Linked DNA regions of Drosophila melanogaster. The protein of the gene in region 1 interacts with the protein of each later gene in a pairwise test. Each region holds a gene or a part of one and is shown in the gene's direction. Other genes may lie near its edges.

Region 1 (3,184 bases):
CTGCCACAAGGGGCATAGTGGAAGGGCGCCCCGAAAACTCGCAAAAGTTTGCTCCAAAGTCCAACATATGTTGCCTGTTCATGCATGCCCTCGTACTCCCCCTCTCTCCACGTCTCCCCTTCCAAATTCCTTGCCCTGCAGTCACTAAGTTAGTCATACAAATGGAGAAAATAGATGACAGAACCATGTTAAAATAATGGTATGAAATAGAGGTTGTAAAATCGCAAAAAAATCGATTCAAACATAGTTAAATCATTGATGAAATCTTATGATATTTAAACATAGACAATTTTCATTAATAACGAAGTCGCTTTTATTTCTTTAAGTGCACGACTTTCATACACATACGGCCATCCAGCACGTGTGCCAGTGTGTGTGTGCCAGTGTGTAATTATAACAAGTTTTCTAGGCAATTTTTCTGTTTTCCTTCTCGTTTTTCGCCCCAGAATCTCGCTAGTTCCCCCGTTCTTTTATTTTATTTTATTTTTTTGGGAACGCTTCTGTTGGGTATCTGAAGAGCAAGAAGTAAGTTTCTGATAAGAAAGTTATGATGAGTTTTCTTCACTCACACAGCGAGCAGAAGATGGCAGCACATGTACACACAGCTGTTGATTTTGGCCAAATTAGTGCAAACACGTCTTGTTTTGAGTTGTGGCCCATGTGGAACATGTGCAACTAATTTGCAGTTATCAAGAGTTCTGCCTTCGACGGGGTTGAACGGATGAGCTCGTGGTCAGATGTCTGTATCTAATCCATCTGTTGGGGCATTGATTTTGGCATCCCAGATACATGCCACCAAACCCAATCCACCCACCATTGTTAACAAATTTCCATTTCCGGTGGTGGCCACAAAAAGCGAAAGGTGTGCGGATGGGCTTTTTCGGGCGGAGTTGGAGCTCGGAAAACCCCGCTGGCCTGTCTGCCGACTGTCAAAAGTTTATTTATTTGACACCGAAAAAGTTGACACAGACACCAGGCCGGGGGCGTGACTTTGTGCCTGAATCGGATTTATATGCCTGGCCAAAATTGGATTACAATTGAGTTGTAATTATGCGACAACAAAACGTTGCGTTCGAGGGGATGCGGATCCTTTTTGGGGTCCTTTGGAGCTCACCGCCTCTGTGTTCTGTTTTCCATGTTGTCGGCAATTTGAGCCAAGCGCTTGCTCAACGACGTCTTTTGAAATTTCGCATTTTGCATTAATTAAAACTGATTTAATTAAAGCTTGTCGTGTTGCTTTTAAGTACTTCAGGAACCAGGATGAGAGTAACAGGTCCTCGAGCTAGGACATCCACTAGCGCATCCAATCCACCCCATGAAAATGATTGAAGCGAGAGACCAAAGTGTTCTGGACTTGTCTCCTGTCGCCCTCGCCAAAGATTCTTTGTCGTCTTTGAGTAGGTGAAAGTTTAATTAAATATGCATCGAGCGTACACAAGTATGTGTACTTGTGGGCCACATAGATCGCATAGATATTTCACCGGAAGTCCCCCAGTCGGATTATGTCGGAATTAGTTATCCAAATTTTTTGGTTATCTCTTATCTCTTGTACAATATTTCACATAATACCATTCCACAATTCAGCTTTATTTGTCTTGTCACATATTTCAGATGCTCAGGTCTCATTGAGATTTCTATCAATCGGTATTGTGTGCTACCGTGTCAGAAAAATATTAGTTATTCGAAATCCCCAACAGCAGCAGAACGTTTCGATCGAAATTTCAGTAAGAACAGCTTTAAAATATTCAAAATGAATCCATTTAGGCCAAATCCAGGTCAGAGTTTTCGCATTCGCTTGAATATGGATCGCGTGCCGGGCGAAGAAGAGCGCAATATACAGCCATCGACTGATGAACGTCGAATCACCCAAATTCCACCGATTCAATTGCGCATCGATCATCAGCGGGATGTGAATCGTTTCATGATCAATATGCGTGTAATGCTACATCGACGGAGGACGGAATTAAATATGGGAGGCGGCGATAGTATCGGCGTGTGGAACTGGAGGGAGCCTCCGATGCCAAGCGGTTTGATTGGCGAGGGCGATTGTGATGGCGGTGGCTATGGTAATTACGCTGGTGACTATCATCCACCATTGCGGGGACTGCCACCAAACCCCTAGGATCTGTACCTTCTCTTACCACACTTGCCATCACTGTCTTTTGCCTCTCCCCTTCCTGTGCGTGTGTGATGTCCTTTTTTTCATTTCTGAGCGTCGTCCGCAAAAAAGAAGAAAAATGTCATCATCAGCTAAAAGGCCCGAAACCCCAAACACAATCCACTACCACTTCCATTCTCATTGCCACCTGAACCAGTAACCCTTGGAGAAGAACGGACCCTGTTCGGACGCATGTTGTTCTATTATTATATCCCCGTTGAGTTCTGGGTTGATGATTTTTCCATCTCCCCAAGAAAATTGATGGGCTTTGGAATTGGAGGACATGCCGAGCCCCGGACGCATATAATAATTTCCTGTTCAATGAGCAATTATCGTAATAAAGATACAATTCCGCTACTCTATATTATATTCGGATACGGGGATGACAATGGTGGTCAGTGGGCAACGATGGTGGCCAAGAGGGGAACAAGCGCACTGACGACAACGATGATGATGATGACTGGTCTCTTCCGCACTGATGTGATGGATTGAGCCCCAGCTCAAGTCTGATTCCTGTCTGTCATGTCACTTTTTCCATGGGGTTAATGGGGGCGTGACAAACATACGGGAAAAGCGCACGGAAAGTTGATTGAACTGCACTAGTTAACTATTCCCCGAAATGACTAGCATGCCATTTCAATTCTAGATGAATTTGACCCCAATATAAGCACTTCATTTTACTTACTTCATCCTAAAATGAACTTCTCAATGAAAGCTTCTATTTTAATGCATTTATTCTGAAATTCGTACATACATAGATTGTAGACAAATCAGGATGCCAATTGAAACAGATTTTGCCCTCTCAGCTGTGACATTTGCATAATCAAAGAAAATTTCGAGCGCAGCCATAGGAACTTTAGTGGGTGTTTGACTTTCATTATAGCCTTCTAGCAGCTTTAGGACTTCCCAATCACTGAGACCAACTGGCAGGGACTCGAGAGTATCAATTCGGGTAGATAGATGCCGTCCTTTATTCTATTTATTCTGGTTTTTTTTTTCCCCCTGCCATTAGCAGGCGACGTCAAG
Region 2 (5,443 bases), on another chromosome or scaffold:
AGACTAACGTAGTAAATCAGCAAATCAAAGATGATTTGGCGTTTAAATTTAGAAACCCTTGAGATAAACAAATGTTATGTGTAGGCTGTTATTTGCCTTATTTAATTGTTAACCCTTTATAAACAATGCTTCCAAAGTGTCAAAACCATTAATATTCCCAGAAACATTCTGCACCTTGGAAAATTGAATACATTTGCCGCAGTTTTCATTAGTTTTAACATTCCTTCGACTGCGTCTTGCTCGTTTTTTGCACTTTGTTCTATTTTTACATTCGCGTATATTCAATGCTACTTTGCGTATTAGATTGTGGGCAGTTTTCCTCTATATCTTCTTGTTTTGGTTGGCCCCAGGCCAAAATGTCGCCTGGTTACGTGCCAAAATGGCTGCGCCATGAGAGTTTTCGCCGAAAATCACTTTCAATGGAGCACGAAGATGACTGCAGCCTAAATCGATTTTCATTATGTCTGATCGATGAATTATGAAGGCTTTCTCGCACGGATCCCATCGTTAATTGAGATATTTTCCGTTTCATAAATTTGCATAGAGCCTTCATTAATTATAATATTAGCCAGCGAGGGTAATGAATTCAGGTGGCAAAGATGACCTCATGTAAATATTGTTTTGAAAAATGTTTTGGCTTATTTCCTTCAGAAAGCAAAAAGTCGAATAATTTGCAGAATGAATATTTCTAAAAAAAATAGATGTAAACTATATGAATAATAATATTTTGTAACACTTGAAACTAAATTGAAATTTCCTGCTTATTTGGAAAACTAAAAATGTGTAAATAAGGCTTTGAGAATCCAATTTGTCGATTGAAGTTGTCACAATTTTACTATTTATTTACTGAAATGGCTTAAATAGCTTGAATACTGCAGTGTTTAATATTTTTAGTAACAAGGTTAATGTATCATGACGTGGTACCCAAAGTTTATCTGAAATGGAAATCCTACAGCCTTCCCATTGTTATGCAATGTCCATGGATGACTAGCATATAGATAAAGTCAGATGTTTATTCCACATTTGTTGCCGAAATAACTCTGGTCCAATATCGGGTTCGTTGGATATTTATGCGACACGAAATCCGCCCGATCGCCGTGTATGTATATACAGATCTATAGATTTGGAATTCTCGGCGCTCTTCATATTGCACAATGTGCGGGGCATTTCGAAAACAGAAAAAGGAACGTAGGCGAGCAAAACATCGAGTATATAGGCGTGAATAGAATACATACATATGCTATATGTTGGCATATATGTATGCTGTCCGCCGCCAAGGAAAATGTAGGTGATTTCAGCGCAAGAGGACACCTTTCGGAGGTGGCCTCTGGCAGAGAGACGCACCGAGTAGTGAAGCAGAGCAAAATAAAAGAAAACAAAACAGAATCCGAGGATGGGGAAATGTATCCACAACAGAGAGCCGCTATATGAACCAATCCGAATCGCCCCGAAATAAATTCCGAACATATGTATAGGCTTCTGCTGCCCAAAAGCCAAAGCCAAAGCAATTTCTCTGCCTTTAAAATTAGATTTTTGATTAGAGCAGCGCCCGATGGATGAGTAAACACCTCGGATACAGCTACACCATAGGCTATAGGCTATAGCCATGGCTATATCTATATAGTTGTAGCTGCCCGCCCCCGCCGATCTCCTGGGCGGACCTCGCCTTGCAGATACTAAAAAAGGCAGCACGAATATTGCAGATACGGATACAGCGAATGGCGCCCGAAGATCCCCGAAGGTGGCCGAACCTCCACGAGCGGCCCCAATGCTTGGAAGAAGAAGAGCTCCTCCGAGCTCTTAAAACATCATTGTCTTGGCGATAAAATCAGCCAGAGATTCAGTGTGCTCTGACGGCTCGACTCGATTAGACAACACATCAAAGTTCAGCACCATGGTAAGGACTCGTCCCGGAATATCACTACAATCCAACTGAACCGAACTGAACCGAACCGAATCGAACTGGACCCCAGTGCCTGGATATATGCAGCAAGGATAATGCCGATCAGTGCAGTGAATCGTTTGCATTCGAGAATGACCCCGAGGATATGAATATGAAGTGAACCATAACTCTAAATCATGGTGATCCCGATTCACCTTCTTCACATACGCAGTGAGAATAGTGCAGAAAGTTCTATAAATGGATCGATCCGATCCGAGTGTTACGCGTCAGTAATGTAATCTGATATCCGTGCCGGGGAGCGAGCGAGACAGCGAGTGGCGCACGGCGGAGAGCTTACGTAATATGCGTCCGGTATATTTTTAGAATGAGTGGAAAACTTTCGCCTGCAGATACATATTTTCTGGCCTAGTCGGGTAGGCCTTTTGAAAAGCATACCTTACATCCCTTAAATCCCTATTAAGGGATAACTTTCTACCCATATAATTCCAATTGAAGATCCTTCAACGCGGATAACTTACTAAGATCCCTAAAACGAATAGTATAACTTCCGGAATCGGAACTTTCAAGTGACAGCTAAAGACGGACTATAACGACTAATGACCGAGTAGATACCCCCTTTCTGCCACGAGTCCCTACTAATAAATCCCTCTTTTCTCTCCTCAGGCCGATGAGAAGAAGAAGGTTAAGAAGAAGAAGACCAAGGAAGAGGGTGGTACTTCCGAAACCGCTTCTGAGGCCGCATCCGAGGCAGCAACCCCGGCACCAGCTGCCACTCCTGCCCCGGCCGCATCTGCCACTGGTTCGAAGAGAGCGTCGGGCGGATCCCGTGGCTCCAGGAAGTCGAAGCGCGCTGGCTCCTCGGTCTTCTCTGTGTTCTCCCAGAAGCAGATCGCCGAGTTCAAGGAGGTGAGTTTTGGGCGTTACTCATATATCGCATCATATGTCGGATCACTCGAGACCCATCCCATCATCCTGTCATCCTACCATCTATCGCACTTGTCAAGGACCAAGTCACCAACACACTCTTTCTTTCTATCTCTCTCTGTCTCTGTGCGGGATCGATAGGCCTTCCAACTCATGGATGCCGACAAGGACGGTATTATTGGCAAGAACGATCTGCGCGCTGCCTTCGACTCCGTCGGCAAGATCGCCAACGACAAGGAGTTGGACGCCATGCTGGGCGAGGCCTCGGGTCCGATCAACTTCACCCAGTTGCTGACCCTGTTCGCCAACCGCATGGCCACCTCCGGTGCCAACGATGAAGACGAAGTTGTTATTGCTGCCTTCAAAACATTCGATAACGATGGTCTCATCGACGGTGACAAATTCCGCGAAATGCTCATGAACTTCGGTGACAAGTTCACCATGAAGGAGGTTGATGATGCCTACGATCAGATGGTGATCGACGACAAGAACCAGATCGATACCGCCGCCCTGATCGAGATGCTCACCGGCAAGGGTGAAGAGGAGGAGGAGGAGGCCGCCTAAGGCACATCCGATCACATCCTAACTTCTAACTCAACATCCATTTTACAGCCAGAATCAGAACGTTAAATCAATCAGTCAAATCAGTAATAATAAACGTAATTAAAAGAAACGCTCGTTTACATATGTAGATTCTCAGTATCTTGTAATCTCTTTTGTTAACCATCACCAAGTACCTTGTACCAAGAACAACACCACCAACCAGATCAGCAACATCCGATCAAACTGAACCTCAAAAGAACTTCTTCAGCAACATTTGGTAGCGATCAGAACCATTTACCATGTATCTGTCCATCATAGTTAGGGATACTTACGATCACGTTCACTGTCACGGCAAGAACTGACGCGTAGTTTTCTAGTTGATTTACTGTTAAATTTTACACGTAAAATTTATAAAACATATGCTATCTATTTTATTTAAAACACCTATAAAATCAACAAAAAAAACTTAAAAACAACAAACAAGCCGTGTCTATTTTTATATCGCTGTCCGTTGAAGAACTAAAGAGAAGAACCCCCAGAGAGAGATGATTACCAGATCGAGATCGAGATCGGAATCGAAATGAGGATGTATGATGTATGATTTATGATGTAGGGAGGACGAAGACGATGTTGATGGGTAGCCGGGCTGTATTCGTTAGCCCTGCACCCGCGAGTTCAATTTGATTATGAATATGAATTTTAGCCAGTTTTGTGAGTTACAATGTTTTTCGTTCAAGAAATCTCGCAGGACCAGGAGAGAGAGAGGTAAACCCATAACAAACTATTGTTAGGGATCATTTAACTGAGAGCCAAATATATATCCTACTATCACAAAATATTTATCGTTATACATATCTATCGTTCGTTACTTACTTATTTATCAGTTATGAGTTATCAATATTATTGCAAGTTATCGAGAGTTAGGCTAATAACAGAGAAACATTAAGTTCATTCACTCAAATTGTTTAATGCGAATTTATATAACTTAACCATCGCCACCACCACAACTTTCTGCTTATGAACTATCAGCGATATAAACCACCCAAACGAACAAACAACCCAAAATGATATCTGAAATATGAAGAAACATTCAAATAACAAACCCAGTGTTTCTAGTTAATGCGTTTTGAAGCTTCCAGGATGATACGCCTCCCCGGGAAATAGACGGTCGGGGGGGTTTTAGTTTGAATAAGGTGCCCATAACCACTAGTACCTAGGCTGATCGGAGGAAGCACAATATATTGCCTTATTTATCTAATACTACTATTACTCAGAACTCAACACTTGACACTCGACACGAGCACACACCACACTCACACGCACACTGCAATCCATTTCAAAGTGCAACATGCAACAAGTTGTTAAATGCAAATCGAATCTTTACTTCAGTATATTTTAAGCTACACACGGCAAGATGAAAAAATTCAGAAAACTTTTAACCCGGTCAGGAATATTAACAAGAGTAAAACAAAAAACATCTAAAAATAGAAAACAAGTAACTGTTTTTATACAACATAACTAGATGATGATACGATGACGAAGTCTTGGAATAAAGCAAAAGAGAGTCGTCTTGAAAAAAAAACACAAAGCCATTGAAGTTTGATTTGCTCAGGGAAGGGGTTTTTTGGGGGTATGTAGTACCTTACTGCATATCTGACTCAGCTGAGCCGTGCCGGAAACCAGTTCCAGGTCAAAACAAAACCACCGATAAAGCTGGGGAGCTGAACGAAGCTGTGGAGCGCAGTGGGAAACTCCCCACACTTGGCCAAGACGATGGCCAAAACCGAACACGAACCTTCGAGCGACCAGTTGTCAGTCGAGTTTCGAGGCGCACGCATGCGCACTACGATGTGAAAGTCAGCCACGCTTGTCATTGCCACATCCATTCCGAACAGCGCTTTTCGAATAATCTGGTTACTCAGGGCGTAAGTAGAACCAGAACCATGGCTCCAGGTGGACGACAGCTTTTGTGGATGGCTTCCATCTGCTGGATTGCATCACTAATGAGTGGAGGTGAGTGCTGGGAATCGATTGCATTGTATGCAGATATTGCGTGGCCAAAGAAATCGAAAG
Region 3 (3,541 bases), on another chromosome or scaffold:
GCGCAAGCTGTACCTGAACTCTCTGCAAACGGTGACGAAGCCCCGATGCCCTGCCACGCTGGCCACGTCAATGGTCGCTTTAAACAAGCGCCTAAAGAAGCAAAGGCAGAGCCGAAAGACATCCGACTTTGTGCCCCGAATCAATCCAGGCTCTTCTATGGACTACCTCAACCGGCAGCCCTTTACGCCGCTTGTCAAGTCCTCCTTTACCCATCCAAAACCTTTTCATCTCCATACGTCGGAGCGTGCTCTGCGCCGCCAAGTGTATGACGAGAGGAAAAGGATACGGATGGATCGGCGTTTGGAGCAGCAGACCATCGATTGGTTTGCACGGGAAAGAAGCGAGTACTTTAAGCTACGCAAAATGACAAATTTCAAGGCTACGCCGAATCCCTGGAAGCAAACAAGGGTCACCGCTAGAAAAGATTCTCAGGCAGCCTAGAAATGAGATTGTAAATTAAATTTGAAACAAGCTGAATATGGCAGCAAAAAGATCTTTGTGAGAGTTTATGAGTTCATGATTTTCAGACTTACCTGCACGATATACAGACATGGACACATGGGTGCTCCACCCCCAATGCTGATGCCAATCAGGTTGCTCTGATCCTTTGTAATGACGACAGCATTCGTGCTGACAGTCATGCCCCTGCATAAAGGTTGGTAAGAAGTTAAGATATTGAAATATAGTTTGAAGCGTGATCTACGCGTGCTACATGATTTGAAGTATATATGGTTATGTGCTGGTGATTCCATATCAGTTTTCCATACGTACTCACTTCGATTGGTGCGATTTTCTAATTAGCCATGTTACCAGTTCTAGCAAGGCCATTGGATTATTATCAAGTTTGGCTAGGGCTGTATGGGGAAAACTGTTGATCGGGACAGCTTATTCTAAGGCATCGTGATACTAACGCTTTCGAAGGATGGGACTTGGAAAGCCAAAGGACACCTCGAATTCAATATAGTTTGTATACTAGCTAGCCTAAGTATAAGCATCTAAGGCTCTACAAAGGAAATTCACATTTGTCCTTTTTCGGTGGAATTAATAAACTAAATAAACAACAATCTTGTTAGTTCTAGTTCTGTAGTTCTTACTATACAAAAAATGGATATAGTACTGTGTTCGCTCTTTAAAAAGTAAATAATTAAAAAAAAAACAGCAACTGAATCAAAATTAAATTTTTAATAGTTAAATAAAGAAGTGTATATGCTACTATTAATATAAATACACCAATTTATGAATTTAAAAGAATAAAATCAATAAAAAACCAAGAGTAAGCTAATTTGGTAGAAACTACAGGATAAAGACTATAAAAACCAGAACTTAGAAAACAGAGCTGCCACAGGAAATAGTATGGGAACGATTCCGGGTCAACGGAGTTGACTTACAGACGGTCTAACTCATACTTCTGCCTACTGGCGGACTCGATGCCGAACCTGTCCCCGGATGCGGAATCGCAGGAGAATCCCGCCGGGGAGCAGAGCATAACGGTGGCCTCGTTGGGAGCGACGGAACCGGAGGCATGCTCTCGCTGCTCCGTGCGTTCCTTGGGCTGCCGGACAGCCTGAGCACCATCCCCATCCAACTGGATGAGCAGCGGTTCTGGCCTGATTCCAACAATATGTTTCAGTTTGGTGGCAATTATTGATTTTTAACAGACACTTTTCGGCACATCGCAACAGATTGTTGTGCGTAAATAGAGCTGGGCGTAGGTGTTGCAGCAATTTATTGCTTTCAATGGCCACTTACATCTTATCCTCTTCGAAAAAGAAGTCATCTTCCGTGTCCGTCAGCATTTTGCGTTATTAGAAAATAAATATTTGTTTATTTTGGCCACTTGAAGCTCCGCCAACTGTCATCGGCGATAGGTAACTGATTTGAAAACTATCGCATCGCGTTGCGAATGGCAAACTCCATTAGTAAACTTGAACATTCCCACGGAGTAACCATGACCACTTGTTGCCTTGGAAACGCTGAGGATAAACGTAAACAAAAGATGATGGACTGGGCCGAAGAACTCAAGATGACCATAAGAAAGGTAAGTAACCCTGTTTAAATGGATGCAAATTGAAGTTTCGATTTATTTGCCACCCTAGACGACGGCCAGGAAGGGTCGGCGCTCCAAGAGTCGCGATGTTCTGAAGGAGGAGGATGTCCAGGCGGCTGGGGGCTCCAAGGACATTTCCATCGACATTACGCTGAATGTCCAGGCGGGCACCCCACCGACCACCTCGGACACGGCCACCTCGTCCACATACAACAATGAATTCGAGTCACATCGACCACCCATTCGTCGCATTTCAGGTGGCTGGGCGGATTCTGGACTCAAAGGATTAAAGTGGGTATGATTAGGCTCGAATTAGGCACATTACTGATTGCTCTATATCTTTTTAGGTCCAAGAAAAACTCCTTTGATGAGTGAGTACAAGTTTATCACAATAACTTCACTTTCCACCGACTGTTATAATGATAAAATTCATTTTAGTGAGCGCTTTAAACAAACAAAGTCGGCTACAAATTCCATACCAACGGATGACATTCCCGTCATCCCAGACATGGATGATGTCAAGGACGAAATCATGCTCAATGAGATTGTAGAACCGCCAACGTAAGCAGAAGCTGCTATATTTCTCTTCACTACGATAATAAGTTGTAATTTGTAGTATTGGCACCTCACGATCTGCTGTTTTGAAGGAGGCCAATTCCGATTTGCTTTCCCAGTACGCCTTTTCAGCTGTGGATGGCTTTGATCTCTCAATCCTCACCGATTGCCTGGTTCCACAGGAGAGCCTCAACGAGAAGGACGATCTCTGGCAGTGGGACAAGCTGTTCACCGAGGTCACGGCTGAAATCCATTCGGATAAAGTGCCCAATATGGGCATGAAAATAGGACCCGATGTGATTCCACCCACACAATATACTTAGTATGATTTAGCCCACAATATCTGTGCAATACAAATGCTCAATAAGTTAAGCGAATACAAAAACATTTCTTGCCTTAAATGATCACAAAATATATACACTACAGAGATACTCAATTAAATTGTAAATTTTAATCTCTATAACCCTATTGGATGGCTCTGCCGACTCCATCGAAAGCCTTTTCCTTGTGATCCGCTGCATTGGCACGGGATTCGTAGTTGCATATGGTTACGCCATGGTAATGAGCTTCTGTGAACTCTCCTCGAAGACCTTTGAATAGTGACTTGGTTTTAGTTGGGAACACAGATAAAACATAGATTGTTGTGAGCTTACCTATATAGTAAATGCGTGTTATGTCTTCGCCAAAATTGCTGGGAAAGTAGAGGGAGAGATGGTGCACGGAGGAGAAGGTGACCACTTTGGGTGAGTACTCGATTTCTCCGCGGGCATCGCGGGTCAGCTGGAACTCCTGGTCGGGCTTTGCTCTGGCATCATCAAAGGTCATCCTGGGTCGGTTCTTGAAGCTGAAAAATAAGATATATGATGAATATAGTAATATTAAAGCAGCCTTGACTTTTGTTCCTTACATTTTGACCATGTTTGGATGGGAGTCATCAT

The links. The genes of interacting proteins can lie anywhere in the genome.
Region 2: the proteins of CG15576 (region 1) and Mlc2 interact in a two-hybrid assay, tested with the Drosophila melanogaster proteins (one large-scale study listed by BioGRID).
Region 3: the proteins of CG15576 (region 1) and IFT43 interact in a two-hybrid assay, tested with the Drosophila melanogaster proteins (one large-scale study listed by BioGRID).

The regions. Positions count from the first base shown.
Region 1 is NC_004354.4:4,251,205-4,254,388, reverse strand, and holds CG15576 (uncharacterized protein), read left to right. Parts: upstream 1-1,598; 5' UTR 1,599-1,750; coding exon 1,751-2,122; 3' UTR 2,123-2,519; downstream 2,520-3,184.
Region 2 is NT_033777.3:30,170,938-30,176,380, reverse strand, and holds Mlc2 (myosin light chain 2), read left to right. Parts: upstream 1-1,829; 5' UTR 1,830-1,894; coding exon 1,895-1,897; intron 1,898-2,566; coding exon 2,567-2,809; intron 2,810-2,968; coding exon 2,969-3,391; 3' UTR 3,392-4,943; downstream 4,944-5,443. Other genes in the region: Rsod (uncharacterized protein), read left to right, coding at 5,314-5,383.
Region 3 is NT_033779.5:12,693,372-12,696,912, reverse strand, and holds IFT43 (intraflagellar transport 43), read left to right. Parts: upstream 1-1,924; 5' UTR 1,925-2,000; coding exon 2,001-2,039; intron 2,040-2,097; coding exon 2,098-2,339; intron 2,340-2,395; coding exon 2,396-2,419; intron 2,420-2,486; coding exon 2,487-2,609; intron 2,610-2,664; coding exon 2,665-2,926; 3' UTR 2,927-3,041; downstream 3,042-3,541. Other genes in the region: CG5781 (uncharacterized protein), read left to right, coding at 1-442; PICK1 (protein interacting with C kinase 1), read right to left, coding at 535-646, 1,390-1,608, 1,751-1,797; CG6153 (uncharacterized protein), read right to left, coding at 3,069-3,193, 3,257-3,447, 3,511-3,541.